Linked DNA regions of Macaca mulatta. The protein of the gene in region 3 purifies or fractionates together with the protein of the main gene of each other region. This does not show direct contact. Links are inferred from orthologs where the notes say so. Each region holds a gene or a part of one and is shown on either strand. Other genes may lie near its edges.

Region 1 (7,248 bases), on a different chromosome or scaffold from region 3:
CTGGTTGGGAGATCCTGTGATCCTCCTGGTTGGGAGTCCCCTTCTCAGGGGTTCAGTGACTTACCCTGCCGATGGCAGCGGTAATGGAAACCCAGATCTTGAGGGCCAAGTCCCATCCCTTAAAGAACTGCTCAGGGCTGGGCAAGATGGCTCACGCCTGTAATCCCAGCACTTTGGGAGGCCAAGGCGGGCGGATCACGAGATCAGGAGATCGAGACCATCCTGGCTAACATGGTGAAACTCCATCTCTATGAAAAAATACCAAAAATTGGCCGAAGGTGATGACAGGTGCCTGTAGTCCCAGCTACTCGGGAGGCTGAGGCAGGAGAATGGCATGAACCCAGGAGGTGGAAGTTGCAGTGAGCAGAGATCACACCACTGCACTCCAGCCTGGGCAACAGAGTGAGACTGTCTCAAAAACAAACAAACAAACAAACAAAAAACTGCTCAGTACCATGTCACTCTTTCTACTCTTTTTCTCCCAACTTAACAATTCTCATTCTCTCACCTCTGTACGTTATAGTTACCTGGCCTTCCTAACCACCTACTCATTTTCTCTGTAATTATTAAGATCTGCAAAAAATTTACAAGTCCTAAGATACCTTCCCAGACAAATATCACTGCCCTGTGATCACTACAAATTCTATGTTCCTTTATTTGGATACAGTCAACTGGTGGGTCAGGCAATCCCTAACATATGGCAAAGATGACGACATTCCTTCCTTTCAGCCACCAGCAAACCTAGCATTCACTTTCACACACCATCCCTTCCGGGTTCTAACCTTCACAGAGGAAGAACCAAATCACCTTCATTTTTATATCCCCATACCTCCCCAGAGCTGGGCATATGCCAGGCACCTAGCAAATGCTGACTGAATAGATGAGTGTGGTCGTCAACTTCCTGGAGTTCCAACACAAAAGACTGGAGTTCCTTTAAGAGTGAGTCACAGCTGGGCATGGTGGCTCAGGCCTGTAATTCCAGCATTTTGGGAGGCCGAGCGGGGAGGATCGCTTGAGCTCAGGAGTTCAAGACCAGCCTGGGCAACATGGCGAGATCCCATCTCTACAAAAAAAAAATATTAAAAATTAGCCAGGTATGGGAGCACATACCTGTAGTCCCAGTTACTTGGGAGACTGAGGCGGAAGGATCACTTGAGCCTGCGAGGTCAAGGCTGCAATGAGCTAAGACTGTGTCACTGCACTGCAGGCTGCGCAACAGAGCGAGACTTTGTCTCAAAAAAAAGAATGAGCCACAGTTCAGGAGATTCTCCCAGGAGTGTCCCCACCTGGCCTCACATCCACATTCACACACACACACCCCCAGCCCCTGATGAAATTCTCTTTCCCAAAGTTCTCAACCTGCCTTGTCTCTTCTGAGAGGTCTGTTCAGCACTCCCCCAGATCAGCCACCTGTTCCCCTGTGACTATTTCCTAGAGTGTCTTCCAAGATGACAACCACTGTTCAGCATAACATAGCACACTCTCTTACACCAGCAAAGACCATAACTAAGCCTCTGTCCAATCTTCTTCCAACTTCCTGTTACTCAAAGGAACTCATTCATTCATTCATTCCACAAGCAGCTACTGAGCCTCTCCTGCACATCAGGCACACATTCAGGTGCTAGGGGGCAGCAGTAACGAAGCTGCCTCTAGTCCCTCCCATGGAGCTTTCAGTCTAGTGGGGAACGAATACATTACCCTGTACCCTCCACACTGGACACCCTTGGCTGGCTTTTGACAAGCTGCAGAGCAGGGCCTCGGTCCAATCAAGCCGCGATCTCTGACTGTGGGGCACCAGCATGTTGATCATTCTAATGGGGAACCCAAGTAGTAAATCTTTTAACCCTTCCATCTAAAAAGGAAACAGCTGACACAGAGTCCTGTCGGCCGGCAAGAAAGCAGGAAGGATGGCAAGACGAGCAGGGCTCCCAGGAGTGGCTTCCTGAGCAGCAGCAATTTCCAGACATGAGTCATCTGGGCCTTCATAGATGCCTAAATGTCCAATCATGCCTCCAAATTATTCATTTCACATTTTCAAGCTTTTCTTAAAACTTTGGTTTATCTCAGTGATATTATTGTTAACATGTAGTGAAAATAATGATAGAGCTAGATGATAGAGATAGAGATAGAGATGAGATAGATGATAGATAGATAGATAGATAGATAGATAGATAGATAGATAGATAGACAGACAGACAGATAAGCTAGAGAGAGTGATAGAGATAGTGATACAGATAGAGATCTTTTTTTTTCTTTAAACAGAGTCTCATCCTGTTGCCCGGGCTGAAGTGCAGTGGCTCAATCTCAGCTCACTGCAACCTCTGCCTCCCAGGTCCCGGCGATTCTCCTGCCTCAGCCTCCCAAGTAGCTGGGATTTCAGGCACCCAGCACCACGCCCAGTTAATTTTTGTATTTTTAGTTGAGACGATGTTTCACTACATTGGTCAGGCTCCTGGCCTGAACTCCTGACCTCAGGTGATCTGCCCTCCTCAGCCTCCCAAAGTGCTGGGATTACAAGCATGAGCCATTGTGCCTGGCTGAAAATACTATTTTTAACATTAAATTTAATGTCCTTATTTCTAAGAAGATCACTAAAGAGTCTATACTATGGACACACAAAAAAAATTCAGTTCAGTAATAACTGATGACAATCTAGGCCCTTGTGAAATTCGAAATCATGTACACATTGGTTTTCTATTTTTATTAAAATAACATGCACTGAAATACATTTTATTTTTTAAAATGGTATTTTCCTAAAAAGCCTTTTGATTGGTCATAGAGCAGGAAAGAACGTTATCTAAATGAACCAGAACTCAACCAGCACAGCAATTAAATATATTTAACACTGTAGCTACTCATTTAAAAGCCTGCTTTTTTTTTTTTTTGAACAGAGTTTCACTCTGTCACCCAGGCTGGAGTGCAATGGTGCGATCGCTGCTCACTGCGACTTCTGCCTCCCAGGTTCAAGTGATTCTCCCATCTCAGCCTCCCAAGTAGCTGGGATTACAGGCACCCGCCACCACGCCCGACTAATTTTTGTATTTTTAGTAGAGACCAGGTTTCACCATGTTGGCCAGGCTGGTATAAAACTCCTGACCTCAGGTGATCCGCCCGCCTTGGCCTCCCAAAGTGCTGGGATTACAGGCATGAGCCATCACCCCCAGCCAAAGCCTGCTTATTATTTAAAGGTTTGTTTGTACTTTTCTTCTAGTTGTCTTCTGATTTCAAACACTATGGTTACCCCAGACCCTTTGTAGCAAGACCCTTTGATGAAGACTAGCTGACTACAGAGACTCTCAATGTCGGGGAAAGAGAGAGGATTTAGTAACAATCAAAGGAAATCTTCGAAAGGTCACAAGTCTGCAATAGATGCTCCTATGCAGGCTTTTGAGACAAGATATCCCTCTGTTGTCCAGACTGGAATGCAGTGGCATGATCATGGCTCACCACAGTCTCAAACTCCTATGTTCAAGCTATCCTCCCACCTCAGTCTCCTAAATAGCTGGGACCACAGGCACATGCCACCATGACTGACTGATTTTTTAATTTTTTGTAGAGATGGAATCTCCCTATGTTGCCCAGGGTGGTCTCAAACTCCAGGCCTCAAGTGATCCCCCTGTCTCAGCCTCCCAAAGTGCTTGGATTACAGGTATAAGCCATCATGCCCGGCCCGCATGGAGTTTTAATTTAGGTCCCTGAGAGGTATTTTGATTTTGTGTTGGGATCACATGGTTATTTAAGAAAGAAGTAACAGCTAATGATGAGAATTGTAGTACACCAATCTTCTATGCCACTTGTTCAAGACACCCAATTCACTAAGAAAATATGAGCTGCTCCAATCATTTTGGTTTGAATTTGCTCCACAGAGACAACACTTACAACCCCTTACCACCTCATTCGCTGAAGCTAAGAAGGAAAACATTAAGAGGGAAAGAGTAATTCCACAAGAAAGAAAAACATTAAAAAAGAAAACCAACCAGCCTCAAAGTTTTTCATAGTGACAACATTCATGCATGATGTGTATAATCAAATAAAACACATCACTTGGGGTTATTTTTCTCTCCAAAAGTTCATACAACCAGTACACACATGTATACATTAAACAAGATATGAACATCTAAACTGATCAGAAAAACTAAGTCACCCCGGAAGTAAACTTCAGTGAGAGAAAAGTGCATGACACTTTCCCTACACAAAGTTACGCATATACACGTCTCATAGAGAAGCCTGCACTGAAACAGAAACCCCAGCGCTTATACAATCCCCCAAAGTACAAACGTTTTATTCTCCCCTTTCTCAGGTTGAAACTAAATATTTCAAGAAGTAAAATGCCTTTTTAGCCAACAGAGTAAATCAAATACAATATGGGATGAGGTCGACCAATACTCAACACCACACAGGAGGCTTCTTCTCTATACGGCAGTAAACGGTCAGCACAGAGTAAGCTATTTTGAAAATCTACAGGGAGGTAAAGTGAAGCACATTTGCTACCACAAATGTAGGGATCCTGGAAATCTTCTTTCAAAGAGGCTAATAACTCTAGTGAATTATCACCTCCTGAAGAGAAGTGCAAAGCAGACAGCGTTAGTCTCTACTCTTCAGGGTCCACAACAGATGTGGCAGCAGGAAGGACAGGCTGTCTGTTCCCGTCACCAGCCTGGTCCTAAGCTTTGGTACTTAACAAAAGTGAACGAGAGAGCCCTGTCTTCAGAGGCGCTTCCTATGAAAACCTCACTGGCTGGGAGTAGCACAAGTTGACAAACTTACCTGGTAATCTCTTGCAAGCCTCGACAGCTACATGCCCTGGCAAATCCAATCTGCACTTTTTCCAGTGAAACGTGGTGGCTGCCGGGCTGCTCATCACCTACATCTGCTTAGATGACAAGGAAAAAGATGTGGAGGAAGTGGACAACAAAAGCAGCCTTCGAACTGCACACTGGGATGTCTTTTTTTTTTTTGTGGCTTTTATTTTTCTCATGAGAGGATCTGACTAAACCTAACTAACCCCACCTCCTCTAAACACCAGACAGGAAGTTACACTTTGCAGTCAGTGAAAACTCCTTAGGTAGGTTTTTTGTTTTTTTAATAGTCACAACTAAGGGCCTCTATTCATGTTCCTGTGACAGAGATTATAACTTTGCTTCCTGTTTTGACAGTGTCAGCTGGGAAGGGGCACTCCACCCACCTTCCTACCCACTGTGTACATAAATAAAGGTGTTAGAAGGTGATTGCCCTGGGTATACAACTGGCCTTAGGAGTTTTGTTACATATTAACTATACTTCAAAGAATAAATTGGGCTTATTATTTCACTGTAGTAGTTATATATACCTTGGGGAAGTAAAACTCAAAAGGATTTCTTCTTCAACCCTTAGAAATTGCTATTATGGAAAAAATAAACCTAACCACATGCAGCTATAAGATAAGAGACCACCATTTAGACTATTTTTTCCAGCCTATTCTCTTTTATGGTCGCTTTGCTCTCTTTATTATCATAGTTTTTTTTTTCCACTCTTGTCACCCAGGCTGGAGTGCAATGGCATGATCTCGGCTCACTGCAACCTCCGCCTCCTGGGTTCAGGTGATTCTCCTGCCTCAGCCTCCCAAGTAGCTGGGATTACAGGCATCTATCACTACCCCGGCGCTTTTTTTTTTTTTTTTTTGTATTTTTAGTAGAGACATTGTCTCACCATGTTGGTCAGGCTGGTCTCGAACTCCTGCTGTCACTTCTGCATGTGTCCTCCACATACATGCAAAAAGCAAGGAAAATCATTATTCATATGATCATTATCTACTTTCTAGTCCTTTTCTCATTCTTTTTCTTGCTTGTTGTGAAATAGAAATTTTCTACTTATTATCAAAGACTTTTCATAGAATATGTATCTTTGTCAGGATACACACAGGTTTGAATTCAAAGGCATCTCTCATCCTGCTACTGTACTGTGGTACAGAAAAGAGAAACTGACAGTACTTCCCCTTCGCTCCTCCTCTTCATCTCTACATTTTCCTTAGACTAGCAGCTGTATAACTCTGGCAAAATACTCTCTCTCTCTCTCTCTCTTTCTCTGTCTCTCTCTCTCTCAGCCTCAGTCTCCAAATCTGTAAAATGGACAAGCTGACTTCACCTGTCTTCTAGGACTGTCACAGGCAGAGAGACCAGGAAAAGCGCAGTGATACAGATGATGTCACATAGTCAATACCCAATAATCTCTTTTTGCATCAAACTTTATTGATATATAATTTATATATTATACAATTAGCTCATTTACACTGTATAACTTAATGATTTTTAGTATTTTCAAAGAATTCTACAACCATCACCACAATCGATCCCCATCCCTTAGCCCAACGCAACCACTGAAATCTACTTCCAGTCTGTAGAGTTACCTATTCTGTACATTTCATATAAAAGAAATCGTACAGTATATGGTTTTTTGTGACTAGCTTATTTCACTTAGCATGATGTTTTTGAAGTCCATGCGTGTTGTAGGATGTATGGGTATTTCATTTCTTTTTAAAATATTCCATTGTATCGATAGACCACATTTTATTATGTGTTTATCAGTTCATGAACATTTGGGTTGTTTTTATCTTTTAGCTAATACCAGTTAATTCTGCTATGAGCATTTGTGTACAAGTTTTTGATGTGGGCATATATTTTCATGTCTCTTGGGTGTGAGGTGAGTGTGTGTGTGTGTGTGTGTGTGTGTGTGTGTGTACCTAGAAGTAGAACTGCTGAGTCATACGGCAACCCTATGCTTAACCTTTGGAAGAACTGCCAGACAGCTTTCCAAAGTGGCTGCATCCTTTCACATTCCCACTAGCAGTGTATGTGGACACCCATTTCTCCACATCCTCACCAATATTTGTTATTATTTGTCTTTTTTATTATCGCCATCCTACTGGGTATGAAGTGACATTTCATTGTGGTTTGATTTGCATTTCCTTAATGGCTATCGAAACCCGTCTTTTATCCATAGGCCAAAAATGTCTTCATTTCTAGAATCAGGACTAAATATTCAAAACACAAAACAGCCAGGGAGGCGTGGGCACCACCTACTCAGAACAGATACTGGCTACAATCCTGAAGTGAGGTCCTGAAGGTGTGCATCTTTAACAGTGGCTATTTTCCAATAGGAATCAAAGATTTTCAACATTGTTCCTGGTACAGCTGTCTGGGTTCACACCAGCTAAATATTGCTGGACTTCATATTTCTATCTACAGTAAGAGGCTGTGAAAGAAGTTGGCC
Region 2 (7,248 bases), on a different chromosome or scaffold from region 3:
AAATTTCCTTCATGTAGTATTACCGGTTGTACACTTACTTATACTTGTAAAAGATACAGTAAATGATCATGACATAAAAATTAGTCATTAACCTTATTTGCATAACGCCTTTCCTTTCCAGTAATTGCTACATTTGCTAAGACAAGAAGTTTTGGGACTACGATAAGGTCGTATTATTGGAGATTTGTTTCAGTCATTTGAAAGATAGTTACGTAGAAAATGTTATAGAACCAACAAGCATTCAAAGGAGTTTCTGCAAGATTTTCAAAAATGAGAAACACAGGGAAAAGAGTTTTAATTTTTAAAAAGGGAAACGACATCCTTCCAATATTTGTAACAAATTGGGCACATGTTCCCTCAAAGACAGCTTTAACAAGGGTAAAGGCTGCAGCCACTGGAAAGAAAACATATTCCAAATAATGATCTTATATTTCAAAACCTCATTAACTCTAGAAGTTGTCTTTCTCAACCAACGGGAAAAAAAAGCACACTGAAGGGTCTAAATTAGACGAGAACTTTCATTTATGCCATCAATTAAGGCCAAGTACACAGAGGTAAGTGAGTAGGTGGTTGCGTAGGTAGAGGAGTGAGTGGGAGGTCAATTAGTCTTGAAAAGTGAAATCTATTTTAAAGTACCTTAGTAAAAATTTAAACCTATTAAGATCTAGTGGTGAAAAACAACTTGTGATACTAATTTGGTGAAAAAGAAAACAAAATTCCATAGAACTTGAATAGAAATCAATAAAAAGGTTTTCAGCACATGCGAACATCTTCAAGGGCTTTCTGTTCAAATTCAGAGGTGAACAAATTCTAAGTTAAAAATGTATGCTGTCAAGGTCCCTGCAAGAAAATCTCAAGCTAATTTCAATTTCCAGATCAATATATACTAAGGCAATTTACTGGAGAAACCTTCAACCTTTACTCAGGTTGAGGAACACTATTATTACATTATTTAACAATAAGGCTAGCTTGAATTCATTATTTCACGTAATGGCATTTTATAATTGGCACATATTTGAATTGGTTTCAAATATGAATGAGATTTCACAGTTCATAGTAGTTAAGGTAGCCACAGAGTACCTATCACCTCAAAATTAGCTTGCTGCCCCTCTTTATGCAGCTCTGAAACAGCCAGAAAAGATGAATTTTCTTCTCCCAGGGGTGTTTCCTGAAAATATTCTATCAATTACAAATCAGCGGAATACTGACTGTGTTAATGTGATTCTGACCATTTCTTTTTGATATCCAAAGAGATCACATCATCGCCCTTCCAGACCTTAAGGAATCAGAACTGGTTACCAAAACTGATTCAGTGATGGCTATTTTCCATCTTCACAATATAATTAACATTTTAATCTCACATTTTCCAATTATGACTTTGTTAGTTCGTTTACATCAGCTATAACTAAGATGCAACAAACGTAATTCACCCACACATACGGTCATTTGGAGGCTCTTGGGAAACACCTAATTTATCTTCACTGGGTGCTGCTAAGAATGAGGAAACCAAGGAGATTTTTGATACATTTTTCTCTCTAGAACTGTGCTATTCACATGTGGCTACTAGGCACCTGAAACGTGGCTGGTCCAACTGGGAAACTGAATTTTGAATTTTATTTAATTTTAATTAATTAAAATTTAAATTTAGAAAAACGTACTTGATTCAGTTATTGGAAAACTTTTATGTATATTGGGTATGTATATTGGGTAACTTGGGTATGTGAATCTACTTTTGTAAATGCACATTTTATGAAACCTAAATACAGATTAAGTATTTCTGATTTTTATCAGAAATGTAGCTTAGTGTCAGAATTGAGATGTGCTGTTAGTGTAAAATACACATTGGGATTTCAAAGACTTAGCATAAAAGATGTAAAATACTTCATTAATATTTTTTCATACTGATTACATGTTTAAGTGTTAAGTTTGGATCTACAGGGTTAAATAAAATATTTTAGTAAAATTAATTGCACCTGTATGTTTTTATTAAATGTGGCTACTAGAAAATTTTAAATTACAAATGTGGCTCATAATATATCTTTTGGACAGTGCTGTTCTAGAACACTTCACAACCACTTTAACAGGACACATTTGGATACTTTCCTTTTAACAGTCTGGCTGGTCATGTAACAATAGGGCAAGGAGTAACATGTCCTCATATCAATTGGGTCTGAGTAAAGTGTGTAGCAAGCTCTACCCACAATTTCACCATGTGAGGCAACACTGTAATACCTCAATATGGAAAGAAAAGGAAACAAATTAGCACTCAAATTGAAATCGTGTACTGCAGACAACTTAAAAGAGATAGGGCCAACTGCTCTAAGGTCTTGGTTTCATTTCCCAACTGTGGACCTTAAAATAGACAATAAAGCACCGCTTCCAAAAAAAAAAAAAAAAAAAAGAGGTAAGATATTTCAATGGTAGCTCTAGCGATCCTTATTAAGCAAAAATTTGCTCTTAAATCTTATCTCCTCAACTTCTAAAGCCACAGAATACACGCTGTGTTAGGAAATCAACTTCAGATTGCCAGCATTTCCTTCACAAGCAAATTAGCAGGATTGTGCACTTGGAATACTGTTTGACAAGAATGAAAAGGAAACTATTCAAAATAGATTTAAGGAATGGACAATTAGATGAGGAACTGCAGATTTAATTCTCAATCAGCACTGTGATTAATCTGATTCCCTGCTTTTCCCCAGCGTAATTATACAACACAGATGAAAGGATGAGCATTTGGACTGTCAGTTCTATATTCTAGACCAGCCCGGTGACTCAAAGCAGACGGCTCTACCACGCTAACCACCATCCCAACAACAGTCGAGGGGAGCCTCGAGCACTGATTGAACAGTCATTGCATAACGAAGCATTAAAAATTCGAATGCCCCCAACTCTTTCCACGTTCATGTACACCAGGAGGGAATGTGCTGAAACTGAACGCACCCGGTCTTAAATGATCCCCTCCAATCCGGGCATGGGGTGTACACAAAGGCATCTGTCTAATATCCCGCACAATAGACACACACCCCACAATTAAAACCCTGGACTCACTCTCTCTCTCACCACACAAGCAAAGGAAATGCAAGCTGCTCTTTTCAAAAATGGTCTATGGCACATGCAAGGTAACAAAAACCCCAACTGAAGCAACTATAAAATCGGCTGTGCCACGTCCCTGTGCAACCGTCAGATAAAATGCAGGCAGCCGGCCCCACGCCTTACGGGGTGGCCAGCCTCGGCTCGGTGGCCTCAATGGACCGCTGAGAACCCCCAGGCCCCCGCCTGGCAGGAGCTCCAGGTACACGTCTATAAATACTCCAAGATGAGAAGGACGAGAGGGGAAGAGGGGAAGAGGGGAAGGAGAGAGGGCAGGGGGCAGGCCCGGAGCGGGTGCGGGAAGACCGGGGCATCACTGAAATGCATTTTTCCACACTCCCGCTCCCTCGCGTGGAGACTCACTTTCCGATCACCTCGCACAGCTCGTACACATCCTCGAACAGCACGTCGTCGTCGGCCATGGTCCGGAGGGGATAGCGGCCGCAGCGTGGAGGGCTTCGAAAACGGGGGTGGGGGCGCCCAAGAGCTCAGTGCCCAGCCCCGGGATCGCCTCCTCCCCTCAGGACCCGCGAGCCCTCGGTGCCGAGGACGCTCGAGTGGTGCCGCGAGGCCCAGAGACTGCGGCGCCTTCCTCTGCAGGCGACCGCCCCGGCGCGGGCGGCGGGGCCGGGGCGTGGGAGCGAGGGCGGCCCGGGCCCGGCGCCGCCCGCCCGCCCGCTGCTCCTCGCGCTGCTCGGGCCGCGCTGCCCGGCGTGCGGATCCTCGGGGACCGCGCGGCGTCGCGCTCTCCGCTCGTCAGCCCGCGCGGGCCGCGAGGCCGCGACCGCTCCCTCTGTCCGAGGCCGGCTCCGTCGCGTCGCGGAGCAGCTCGGGCTATAGAGGGGGCCGCGGCAGGACCATGGAGGGAGGATCGCCGCGGAGGGAGGTGGCGGCGGCGGATCGGCGCTGGGGACCAGGAGGCGGTGGCAGAGACGCTCCCTCCTACTTCTCCTCCTCCCGCAGCCGCCACCGCCCGCCCGGGAGTGGGAGGGGGCTTCGCGGGACTGGCGCTCTGTGCGGGCGGGAGCCGCGGCCGCCGCCTTCTGCTCCGCCCCTCCGCCTCAGCAGCCGACCGGCTAGCCAGCCCCGCGCACCCGCCTCGCGCAGACACGCCCTCCTCCCCCGTCGGCGGCGCGGCTTCCAGAACCACAGACTCCGCCCACTCTAGCCCGTCGGGAGGCGGTGGCCCAGGGAAAGGGGAGCGGGCTGAGCGGCGCATGCGCGCGGCGCGGGCCGCGTCACGGCAAACGGGCGGGCACCGGGATTCTAGAGGGCGCGGGGGGTTGAGCGGGGCGCGCCGGCTGCAGCTGCCGAGGCGGGGCTGGTTGGGGTCGTCGCCTCCGCGCCTAGCGGCGACCAAGCCGCGAAAGGGGCTGGAGACAAAAGGTCCACGGCTGTACGCTCGTTGTCCCGCAAGAGGCTCGAAACTCTGGCCGCTCCCCTTTCCTTCTTTTGTAATCGCAGGGAGCCTTTCCCAGCTTTTTGCTGGGAAAAGAGGCAGGGATAGGGTGCTAATGAATGAGAAAGCTAAAAGAGAGGTGGAGAGAGGTTGTCACTGAATCCGTGCTTGGCAGCGGATGCTTTTAGTGCTACCCTGTCATTCCTTAATGAAGATGAGGGCTGGGGGCAAGGGGAGGTCGTCCGAGAAAAGGACTAAACAAAAACTGCCTAGGAAGGTGTGCGACAGCAAACGGTCATCTATAGAGACAGCTTCTCCCACGTTCTGCCCCAAACTCAACAAATACCTATCCAGCGCCTACCCTCACTAGAGACCAACCTAGAGAGAAGCCAGGAAGACAGGGACAAACCGCGACTTTAAGCTCCTTTGTATATTGCCCTCAAACTCCCAGCACCTACACTGCTCTGTATACTCCCTATACATGTTAGACTTGTCAGGAACAAAATGCAACTAGAGGCAGTGCAGGCACAGGAGCAGCCAGGGAGTGAGGTTCTGGGTGTTGCCGCTGTGCTAGGTTGCATTCAATATGAAGATTTCTGTTCAACTGAGCATGTGCGGAATGAGCCAACGCCATCAGACAGGTATATGCCTCAGTTGAAGACCAATAGAGTCTTTGTTCCTCCGCATAGCAAAAGTGCCCAATTAGTTCATAAGTCAGTTTCCAGAAATCGTCTGGTAAATTTCTCAGTGTGGTAATTTTTTTAAAAAAGTATTTATTAATACCAAAGTGGAGGGGGTGATGTGGAGACTCACAGCCTATTTTCTCTTCAGAAACGTTTCGTGCAAACCCTTGACCACTCCCTCAAAAGGCTGAGAGATTTGCCTGCTAAGGATTTGGGTACTAAACCTTTAAAAAAAAAAAAAAAAAAAAAGCAGACCAGAGGACAAGTGTAATTGCACACGGTTTTCCTCCTTTCTCAAAGAGCTTGTGCATTCTCTAGAGATGGGGGCTTTAGAACTTGAGAAACATTGCCTCCTTTAAGGGTCCAAGAGTAACTCACCACAAGTTGGCATGTCCAGCTCATGTCTAATGAATAAGGCGTCACTCCATTCTGCCCTGAAGTGCACAAGGACCCTCTCAAGTCACCTTGTCAGCTTCACTTCTTTTCCCCAGCCCAAGACTGAGCTATACCAACACTTGTCGACTTCATTTTGGGGTTTCTTATCTTCCACAGGGACCTATGCTCCGAGGTAGAAAAGGACAATTATAAAGTAAAACAGAAAAGAAAGTGCAGGTGAATAAAAGAGAGAGACGATTGCAAAAATAAGTAAGCGCTCTGCTCATGGGATCACAGTTGGTTTGGATCTGGAAAGAGCCTCCCTCATTTACAGATGGAAGAATGCGGTGGTTGCTCTCCCAAAAACCATCCCACCCCTCTCCCCCACCATAGGGTAGCAGCTCTGAGCTTGAGGTGAGATTGTAACCATCTTAACTGGAGAGGTGGGCTCTGATTAATTAAACTAACACATCCAGCCCCCTTCCTACAGCCATAAGCCTAATTTAATCAGCTCTTGGCACTCCCTGGCCACAAGCTTTGAGTGGTTCGAGGTCTGCCAATCAGCACAAAGCTCAGGACTTCTTTTCCTAATCTGTACTTAGATCTCCCAGTTCCCAGTGTGATATTTAGTCATACAGAAATTCTCTGCAATACACATCCCTCAGAAGTTGTACCATGTATGATGGCTAGAGGTAGATCCTCTCTGCCTTGGGGACTAAAATAACCAAACCTTTTAAATTAATTTTTCTCTGAATGTCTTCCAAAAATCCAACACTGTTCCAACAACTAAGCCCATGTATTAGTGAGTCAGGTGTCAATAATTTGGTTCTGTTTTCGTTTCCACAAAGAAAATGTTAAAGTGTGTGCATCTATTAGATTGTATTCAGATGTTAGTAACTGAATATTCAACTAACAGTGGTTTAAACAAATGCGAGGGGGCGTGTTGCTGTTTTCCATGTAGCAAGGAGCCTGGAGATGTATGGTTACTAACATTGATCAGCTATTCAACTGTATCATCGGTGACCTAGGTTTGTTCGTTCCACTCTGCCATTCTTGTAATGTTAGCATCTCATCCTCAGGCTTGTTGCCTCATCATTATGAGATGACTGCTGCAATTTCAGACATTAAAGGGAGGAAGAAGGAGAGCAGTAAGGACAGGAGAGGCCTTTCTGCTCCCTCTCTCATCTATTCGGGAAAGAAAATATCTTTTTCTCAAATCATGGGTCAGGACAGAGTCACAGGCAGCAACACTTACCTGCAAGGGAAGCTGGGGACACAGGTATTTGTCTTCTCCTGCCTCCTCTTGGGAAGTAGACAAGGGAGAAGTAGGGGGAAAATGGGCTTCGGCAGCAGGCTGGAGTGCAGCGGCACAATCTTGGCTCACTGCAACCTCCACCTCCTGGGTTCAAGAAATTCTTCTGCTTCAGCCTCCCAAGTAACTGGGATTACAGGCGCTTAACACCATACCTGGCTAATTTTTGTATTTTTAGTAGAAGTAGGGTTTCACCATGTTGGCCAGGCTAGTCTTGAACTCCTGACCTCAAGGGATCCACCCTCCTCGGCCTCCCAAAGTGCTGGGATTACAGGCTTGAGTCACTGTGCCCGGCCAATTTCTAATGCTAGGAAAATTACCAATAAAACAGAACTACGTCTCCATCATAATATAGCTATACCTCTAGTATATAACTGATAGGCCTTAAA
Region 3 (7,148 bases):
ATTCCACACAGCTTAAATTTTTTTTTATGTGTAATTTCTGGGGCCAGGTGCAGTGGCTCACATCTGTAATCCCAGCACTTTGTGAGGCCGAGGCAGGAGGATTGCTTGAGCACAAGAGTTCAAGATCAGCCTGGGCAACATGGCGAAAACCTGTCTCTACAAAAACCAAAACAAACAAAACAAAAAAAACCCATAAAAATTAGCCAGGTGTGGTGGCACACACCTGTGGTCCCAGCTACTCAGGAGGCTGAGGCGAAAGGATCATTTGAGCCCAGAAGGTTGAGGCTGCAGTCAGCTATGATCATACCACTGCACTCCAGCCTGGGTGACAGAGTGAGAACCTGTCTCACAAAAAAAAGAAGAAGGATAAAAAAAGAACAAATTCTGTTTTATCAGCTAAGTGCATTCATTCAGCTGGAAAAGCTTTGTTACCATTCAACTTAGGAGGATAAATTAGGAAAACAATCAGTAATAATGTTAGGTATTTGTTGTTTAGAAAGATTTTTTCTTATAAAAATATAAGAAATAAATAATCCAATCTCTCCTGCCATGCAATAATTTTCAGTAACAAAGTTTGTGAGAGTAGAGAACATAAAAACAGGCACTATCAGACCTTCTTTGGCCTAAAATGTGCTAAAATGGGTTTAAAATAGGTGAATGACATTTAAAGTAGTATTTTTCACTGCCTATATATGTTCCAGTATTTAACCTGAAACTCTTATCTACTAGGAAGGTGAGTTTACAGTTACAACTATCTAATAAATACTATATGAACATACATTTAAGTATTTCTTCATATAAGACATTAGATACTAATTTCCAGATAATGTTTCATTTGATGACTTCAGGAAAGGACTTACCTTTTTCAGAAAAAGAAAAACTGAATGTTTTTCTTTTATTCCTTTCCTTTTCTTTTTATGGAGAGAAAGGAGAGAAGTTTTAGAAGAAAAGGTGGGAGCCTTTTCATATACCAGCTGGCTGCTCCTAGGCATCTGTGTGGAATGTGGAGAAGCTGTCGAAGCCTCGGGTCTGGGGGCACAGGAAGCAGTCCCTCTGAATGGGGAGCGGACACTATTCTGCAGTTTCCTTTCCATTCCACACACTGGAACCTACCACATCCTCAACAATTTTCTTAATTAAAAATGAAAAAGAAATGAAAAGTGAGCTGGTTCTATAAAAAAGGTAGAATATTGAAAATGCCCATTTTTAGTTATCATTTGGAAATAATTTGCCATATATTTAATTTGGCATCTAAATATAAATACATATTTATCATGGTGTCCCATTCATTAGAGAGCACTTCATTTGTGGATTGAAAATCCCACAAACACATTTGATTGAAGAACAACCTTGGTCATCATGATTGGAGAGCTCTTAAGTATGTAAGACAAGCAGCAAAAGGGCTCTGGTTCTTGGGGCTGCTAATGGACAAAGGAAACCTCCCATTCTTTCATTTCACACCAAGACTCAAAAGATATTATTAAGAACCCTACAGACCTCAGTGCTATACATGTCAGTTTAACCTTGACCAAAATGAGTGAAAATGCACATGCCTTGCCTTTCCTGCTCACACTTTAATTCCACCTATTTTACATCTTCATATAACCAACGAGCAGGGTGGCTCAGAAGCTGCCCTGCAAATCTCAGTGGCTTAGCCTTTCACATTAACACAGAAAACCTCAACCAAATGGCTTTGCTGCTGAAGTCTGTAAAGGCATCATTCAACATCTCATATTAATAATGCTCTCACTGCATAGAGGATTTAAGATTGCCTACCTGAGGGTATTACATATTGAAATTCTGATTCCAGAAATCATTTCTGGACCTTCAAGAGATTTTTTTCCTTCCCTGAAATGAAAATTTATTGTGGGCCAGGTACGGTGGCTCACACCTATAGTCCCAGCACTTTGGGAGGCCAAGGCAGGCGGATCACTTGAGGTTGGGGGTTCAAGACCAGCCTAGCCAACATGGTAAAACCCTGCCTCTACTAAAAATACAAAAATTAGGCGGGTGTGGTGGTGGGCGGCTATAATCCCAGCTACTCAGGAGAATCACTTGAACCTAGGAGGTAGAGGTTGCAGTGAGCCGAGATCATGCCACTGCACTCCAGCCTGGGAGACAGAACGAGACTCCATCTCAAAAAAAAAAGAAAAAAAAGAAAAGAAAATTTATCTGAGATGGAGCCAATCTTAGGTTTATGAATTTTCAAAATATAAAGAGCTTTTGAAAGACATATTCTTGTCTAGATTTTAATTTCCAGTTTTAAGCCGTTCAGATAATTCATTTTTGGAACTTCGACAATTACATGAAGCTGGGGGAAGAACAGGCATGTCTTCCCAACCTCTGCATACTGTTGGTTTCACTGTAATGAGGAAGTGGGGCTGACTTCCGGGTGAAGGAGGACAGTGGAGTTACAATGTTAACCTAGAACTCGCTCTGCTCATGGGTCCTCCCACCGGTCAGGCTGCACTGAAACCAAATAGCTCATTTTGCACACACAGCTGTATTTTTCTCTTCTTTTCTCCCCCTGTGCCTGCCCCATCTGAAGCGACATCCTCCTCCACCCACCACAGCACTCACATTCTTCTATGGCACTCTTGATCGATCAAGCAAACAAGAACTTTCCCTAGACCTTTCTTCAGAGAGCATAAAGAATATCCAAGTCAATATTACCTATTCTTTGAGATCCAGGGACTACGCTAATTTTGACGTTTTATATTGATATTATACCATTTTAAATGTTTGCAGATATATGCCTCCTTCAAAATTAGGAAAAACAAGCTGAGTGTGATTTTCTAACACTACAACATCAGTATTTTTGCTGCTACTGTGTCCTAATGATGACATCTGGCAATGCTTAACCAAAAGGAGGCAGCTGTTCCACAGTCTCATCACCCTGCCCCCTGTAGGGTGTGCTGTGAAGCCAACACTAAGTCTTCCATTAGCAGTTCCTTGTCCATGCCACTGCTGCCACAAAGGGCCAGGCCACAGCTGAGATGCTGCATCCCGTTGTTTTTGGGCAGCCCCAAAACAACTCGACATGACGCTTGTGCGGAAGAGCTGGCTTCACCCACCAAGTCTACTCTGCAAGCAGGCTGGCTCTTCAGGATTTATCTTGCTCAAAGAGATCTGCCTACTAGAAGAGATGCCATTAAGGAAACCCACCTCAAAGACTATTCCTCAAAACTAGGATAGGTGATCTCCTTGAAATGGCAGTGATTTCCAGTTATTCAAATAGTGACTAATAAAGCTCCACTAACCCTAACCAAAGGCACATTTGGTAAGCAATTAAAAAAATGGCTTAACCTAGGAAGAGGATTTTCATTTAAAATAAATCTCACAATATCCTCTGGCTACCACCAAAAATAAAATGGAAAAACCTAAACCAAGCAAAACTTTTCTTTCAAAGCAAAGTGGCTTCCAACTTGCTTTTCAACTCAGTCACCACTAGAAAGGAAGTGAAAGGCAAGGCAAATCAAATTTGCAAGTCCTAAGTCCTAGAGACAGCACTTAAGAGTGGCAAAGCTTGGGATAAGGTGGGAAGTGATGGCCAGGCTGAGATAGAGAGAGAGCCAGGGCAAATGGAACATCCCTTTGGTGATACAACTCAAGGACTTCCTATGGTGGAAGGAGCTAGTGAGGACAGTAAATTCTAAGACATACAACCTATCTGGAATGCTCACGAAGCAACAGGCTGCTGCAAGCTAGCACCCGGGAAGGGACAATTGTTCTGAACAAGAGATCAAGGCTAGGCATAACACAAATCCTACAGGGAGAAGAAAAAGAAAACAATGCTTGGGTATTTGATTATGTCTAAAAAGGAAAACAATGAGCCATTCTTTTTGGCAGGAGAAACAAACCTAATTACTCATAAACCGTATTATGAAACGAAAATAAATCAACAGCTTCATTTTGGAGCCTTTTCGAGTCCTAGAATATCTGGCCAAGGTAGACTGTGAAAGGCAGGCTCTTCTTTAAACACGGTTATGGTTCAGCAGTGATTTGCAGGTCCTTGGGAAGGCACTGTGCTGAAGGAGAGAGCAAAGAGTTTTCTTTTTGTGCTTTTTTTTTTTTTTTTTTTTTGAGGTGGAAATATTTCTTGTGACAGTCAAGGCTCTTTTCTGATTTTTTGTTGCTCATACAAGCAGTCCCATACGAGTGACTTTGGCCGATAAGAATGTGTGCAACACAAATACAATCGGCTTCGGACAAGAGTGCAGGTCCATGGTCTGTGGAGAAAGGACACTAAGTATCACTACCTCACTGCCATATACAGACAACTGAATACATGAAGATGCAAAATAAATTTACTTTTAAGGTAGGTAAAGAATATGCCAGAGCTATGGAAACTCTTGGGAACTTAAAGCCACAGGCAAAAGTGCACTATGGAGTAAGGTTATTCCATGTCATAATACTGGTGTGAGGTTTCACATCCCCAATTAGGAGACAACTGGTGGTGTACTGGGTTCCACCATGCCTGGTAGGAAGATCTAAATAGTAGAGGATTTAAAATCTAAGGCCAGGCGCGGTGGCTCACGCCCGTAATCCCAGCACTTTGGGAGGCCAAGGCAGGCGGATCATGAGGTCAGGAGATCGGGACCATCCTGGCTAACATGGTGAAACCCCATCTCTACTAAAAAAAAAAGAAAAATTAGCCAGGTGTGGTGGCACATGCATGTAATCTCAGCTGCTCAGGAGGCTGAGGCAGGAGAATCACTTGAACCAGGGAGGCAGAGGTTGCAGTGAGCTGAGATGGTGCCACTGCACTCCAGCCTGGGTGACAAAGCGAGACTCCGTCTCAAAAAAAAATAAAAAAGAAAAATGATAACAAAAACCAACATCCAATGTCATCTGGAAAACTGAGAACAGCAGATACAGTGGCTCACATCTGTAATCCCAACACCTCGGGAGGCCAAGATGGGAAGATCACTTGAAGACAGGAGTTCAAGACCATCCTGGGCAGCAAAGCGAGACCTCATCTCTACAAAAAATACAAAAATTGGCCAGGCATGGTGGCACACGCCTATAGTCCAGTTCCAGTTACTCAGGAGGCTGAGGCAGGAGGATCACTTCAGCCCAGGAGGTATAGGCTGCAGGGAGCTATGATCGCACCACTACACTCCAGCCTGGGCGACACAGACCCCATCTTAAAAAAAAAAAAAATTTAATTAAAAATTTCATGGTTCTAAATGGAATGTCAGTCCATGATTTTGTATATAAGGGGTAAGAAGTAATGAGAAGGAAAGAGAACATCTATTAGAAAAAAATGTGTTTCAGAAACACTCCTACCAGTTCTCCCTCGGGACCACCAAAATCAGAAACACTCTTACCAGTTCTCCCTCGGGACCACCAAAATCCAAGTATAGATTTCGGATGCCATCATCCGCAGACATCTTCAGCCTTTCAAAGGGGTAGCGGTATAATATGCTGCTGGAGCCTCCGTTTTCCCTGGAGATGGTGAACCCATTTTCATAGTGAATAGTAAGCCTCACCTCTTGGCCATTTAACATGCAGCCTGTTGGAGAAAAGCAAAAAATATTAGTCGTAAAGTTGTTATGCCAGTTATCAAGTGAAACGGGATTCTTCTGACTTCAAAATAGGAAAAATATTTTCTTGAGAATGTGTGATACCGAACCTATATGGAACCTTCTAAAGTGTGTTTTGTTTTGGTGACTGAGATGAGGCAGAAATGACCATAACACTCCTTGACATCTGATTCAGTTTAATTCCATGAGTACCCACTGAACACTCATAGTGGCAAGTGTGTGTAGGCTGTGCAGGGCACTGGAGAAGCAAGAGAGGCACAGTCCCTGCTCTCAAGGACTTTGTAAACGCATTAGCATAAACAGGAAATCCCCAGCTGTGTAAGGCAGAATGTACAGAACATGAGCAAACACCAAACTGAATGAGGCCAAAGTCAAGAAAAGGTTTCCTGGAGGAGCTGGGCCTTCAGATAGGCCCTAAAGAACTGGTAAAACTGGCCGGGTACGATGGCTCACAGCTGTAATCCCAGCACTTTGGGAGGTCGAGGTGGGTGGATCACTTGAGGTCAGGAGTTCGAGACCAGCCTGGCCAACAAGGCAAAATCCCATCTCTACTAAAAATAAAAAATTAGCCAGGCGTGGTGGCACATGCCTGTAATCCCAGCTACTCAGGAGGCTGAGGCAGGATAACTTCTTGCACCCAGGAGGCAGAGGTTGCAGTGAGACAAAATCACACCACTGCACTCCAGCCTGGGTGACAATAGCAAGACTCTGTCTCAAAAAAAAAGGTAAAACTGGACAGGCAGGGAGGAACAGGCAGAAGGACTGAACTGGGCGAGAAGGAACAACCAAAGGACCAAAGGCAGAGAGGCCTTTCAGGAGCTGTGACATGGTTTGGTTGGCATTTGGGATGAAGATAAAGATTACGTTCATCCAAGTTAAAGGCTATACTCAGCAAAAGTCACAGATTCAATGCTATCAAAGATACAATTCAAAGGATACCTCTGAATTGACAGGATACAAACAATTTTGGTCATCAAGACCGGCAAATACCCCAGGTGTGGAGGCTCATGCCTATAATCCCAGCACTCTGGGAGGCTGAGGCAGGAGGATCACTTGAGGCCAGGTGCGCTAGAGACCAGCCTGGGTAACATGACAAGATCTCATTTCTACTAAAAATAAAAAATGTATCACGGCATGGTGGTGTGTACCTATAGTCCCAGCTACTCGGAAGGCTTGGGTGGGAGGATCACTTGCATCCAGGAGTTCAAGGTTGCAGTGAGCTATGATCACGCCACTGCACTTTAGCCTGGGTGACAGAGCAATGTCTAAACAATTTTAAAAAGAGAGTTTAGAAGTCCTTTTTTGTTTTGAGATGGAATCTCCTTTTGTTACCCAGGCTGGGGTGCAGTGGCGTGATCTTGGCTCATTGCAGCCTCAGTTTCCTGGGCTCAAGCAATTCTTCTGCCTCAGCCTGCTGAGTAGCTGGGATTACAGACGCACACCACCACGCCCGGCTAATTTTTTTGCATTTTTAGTAGAGACAGGGTTTCACCATGTTGGACAGGTTGGTCTTGAACTCCTGACTGCAAGTGATCCACCCACCTCGGTCTCCCAAAGTGTGGGGATTATAGGCATAAGCCATCGCACATGTTTTTTTTTTGT

What was found.
Region 1: the proteins of SNTB2 (region 3) and UTRN purify together in Homo sapiens (affinity purification with mass spectrometry; 4 studies listed by BioGRID and IntAct, with this or other methods). This does not show direct contact. The link is inferred for Macaca mulatta from reciprocal best matches to the Homo sapiens genes SNTB2 and UTRN.
Region 2: the proteins of SNTB2 (region 3) and CASK purify together in Homo sapiens (affinity purification with mass spectrometry; 3 studies listed by BioGRID and IntAct, with this or other methods). This does not show direct contact. The link is inferred for Macaca mulatta from reciprocal best matches to the Homo sapiens genes SNTB2 and CASK.

What each region holds. Positions count from the first base shown.
Region 1 is NC_133409.1:49,600,495-49,607,742, reverse strand, and holds the start of UTRN (utrophin), read right to left. Parts: upstream 4,887-7,248; 5' UTR 4,862-4,886; coding exon 4,768-4,861; intron 1-4,767.
Region 2 is NC_133426.1:41,838,455-41,845,702, forward strand, and holds the start of CASK (peripheral plasma membrane protein CASK), read right to left. Parts: upstream 3,555-7,248; 5' UTR 3,513-3,554; coding exon 3,454-3,512; intron 1-3,453. UniProt on the Homo sapiens protein: Multidomain scaffolding Mg(2+)-independent protein kinase that catalyzes the phosphotransfer from ATP to proteins such as NRXN1, and plays a role in synaptic transmembrane protein anchoring and ion channel trafficking.
Region 3 is NC_133425.1:64,915,578-64,922,725, reverse strand, and holds the end of SNTB2 (beta-2-syntrophin), read right to left. Parts: intron 5,516-7,148; coding exon 5,331-5,515; coding exon of another isoform or gene 5,290-5,330; intron 4,230-5,289; coding exon 4,137-4,229; 3' UTR 2,239-4,136; downstream 1-2,238. UniProt on the Homo sapiens protein: Adapter protein that binds to and probably organizes the subcellular localization of a variety of membrane proteins. May link various receptors to the actin cytoskeleton and the dystrophin glycoprotein complex.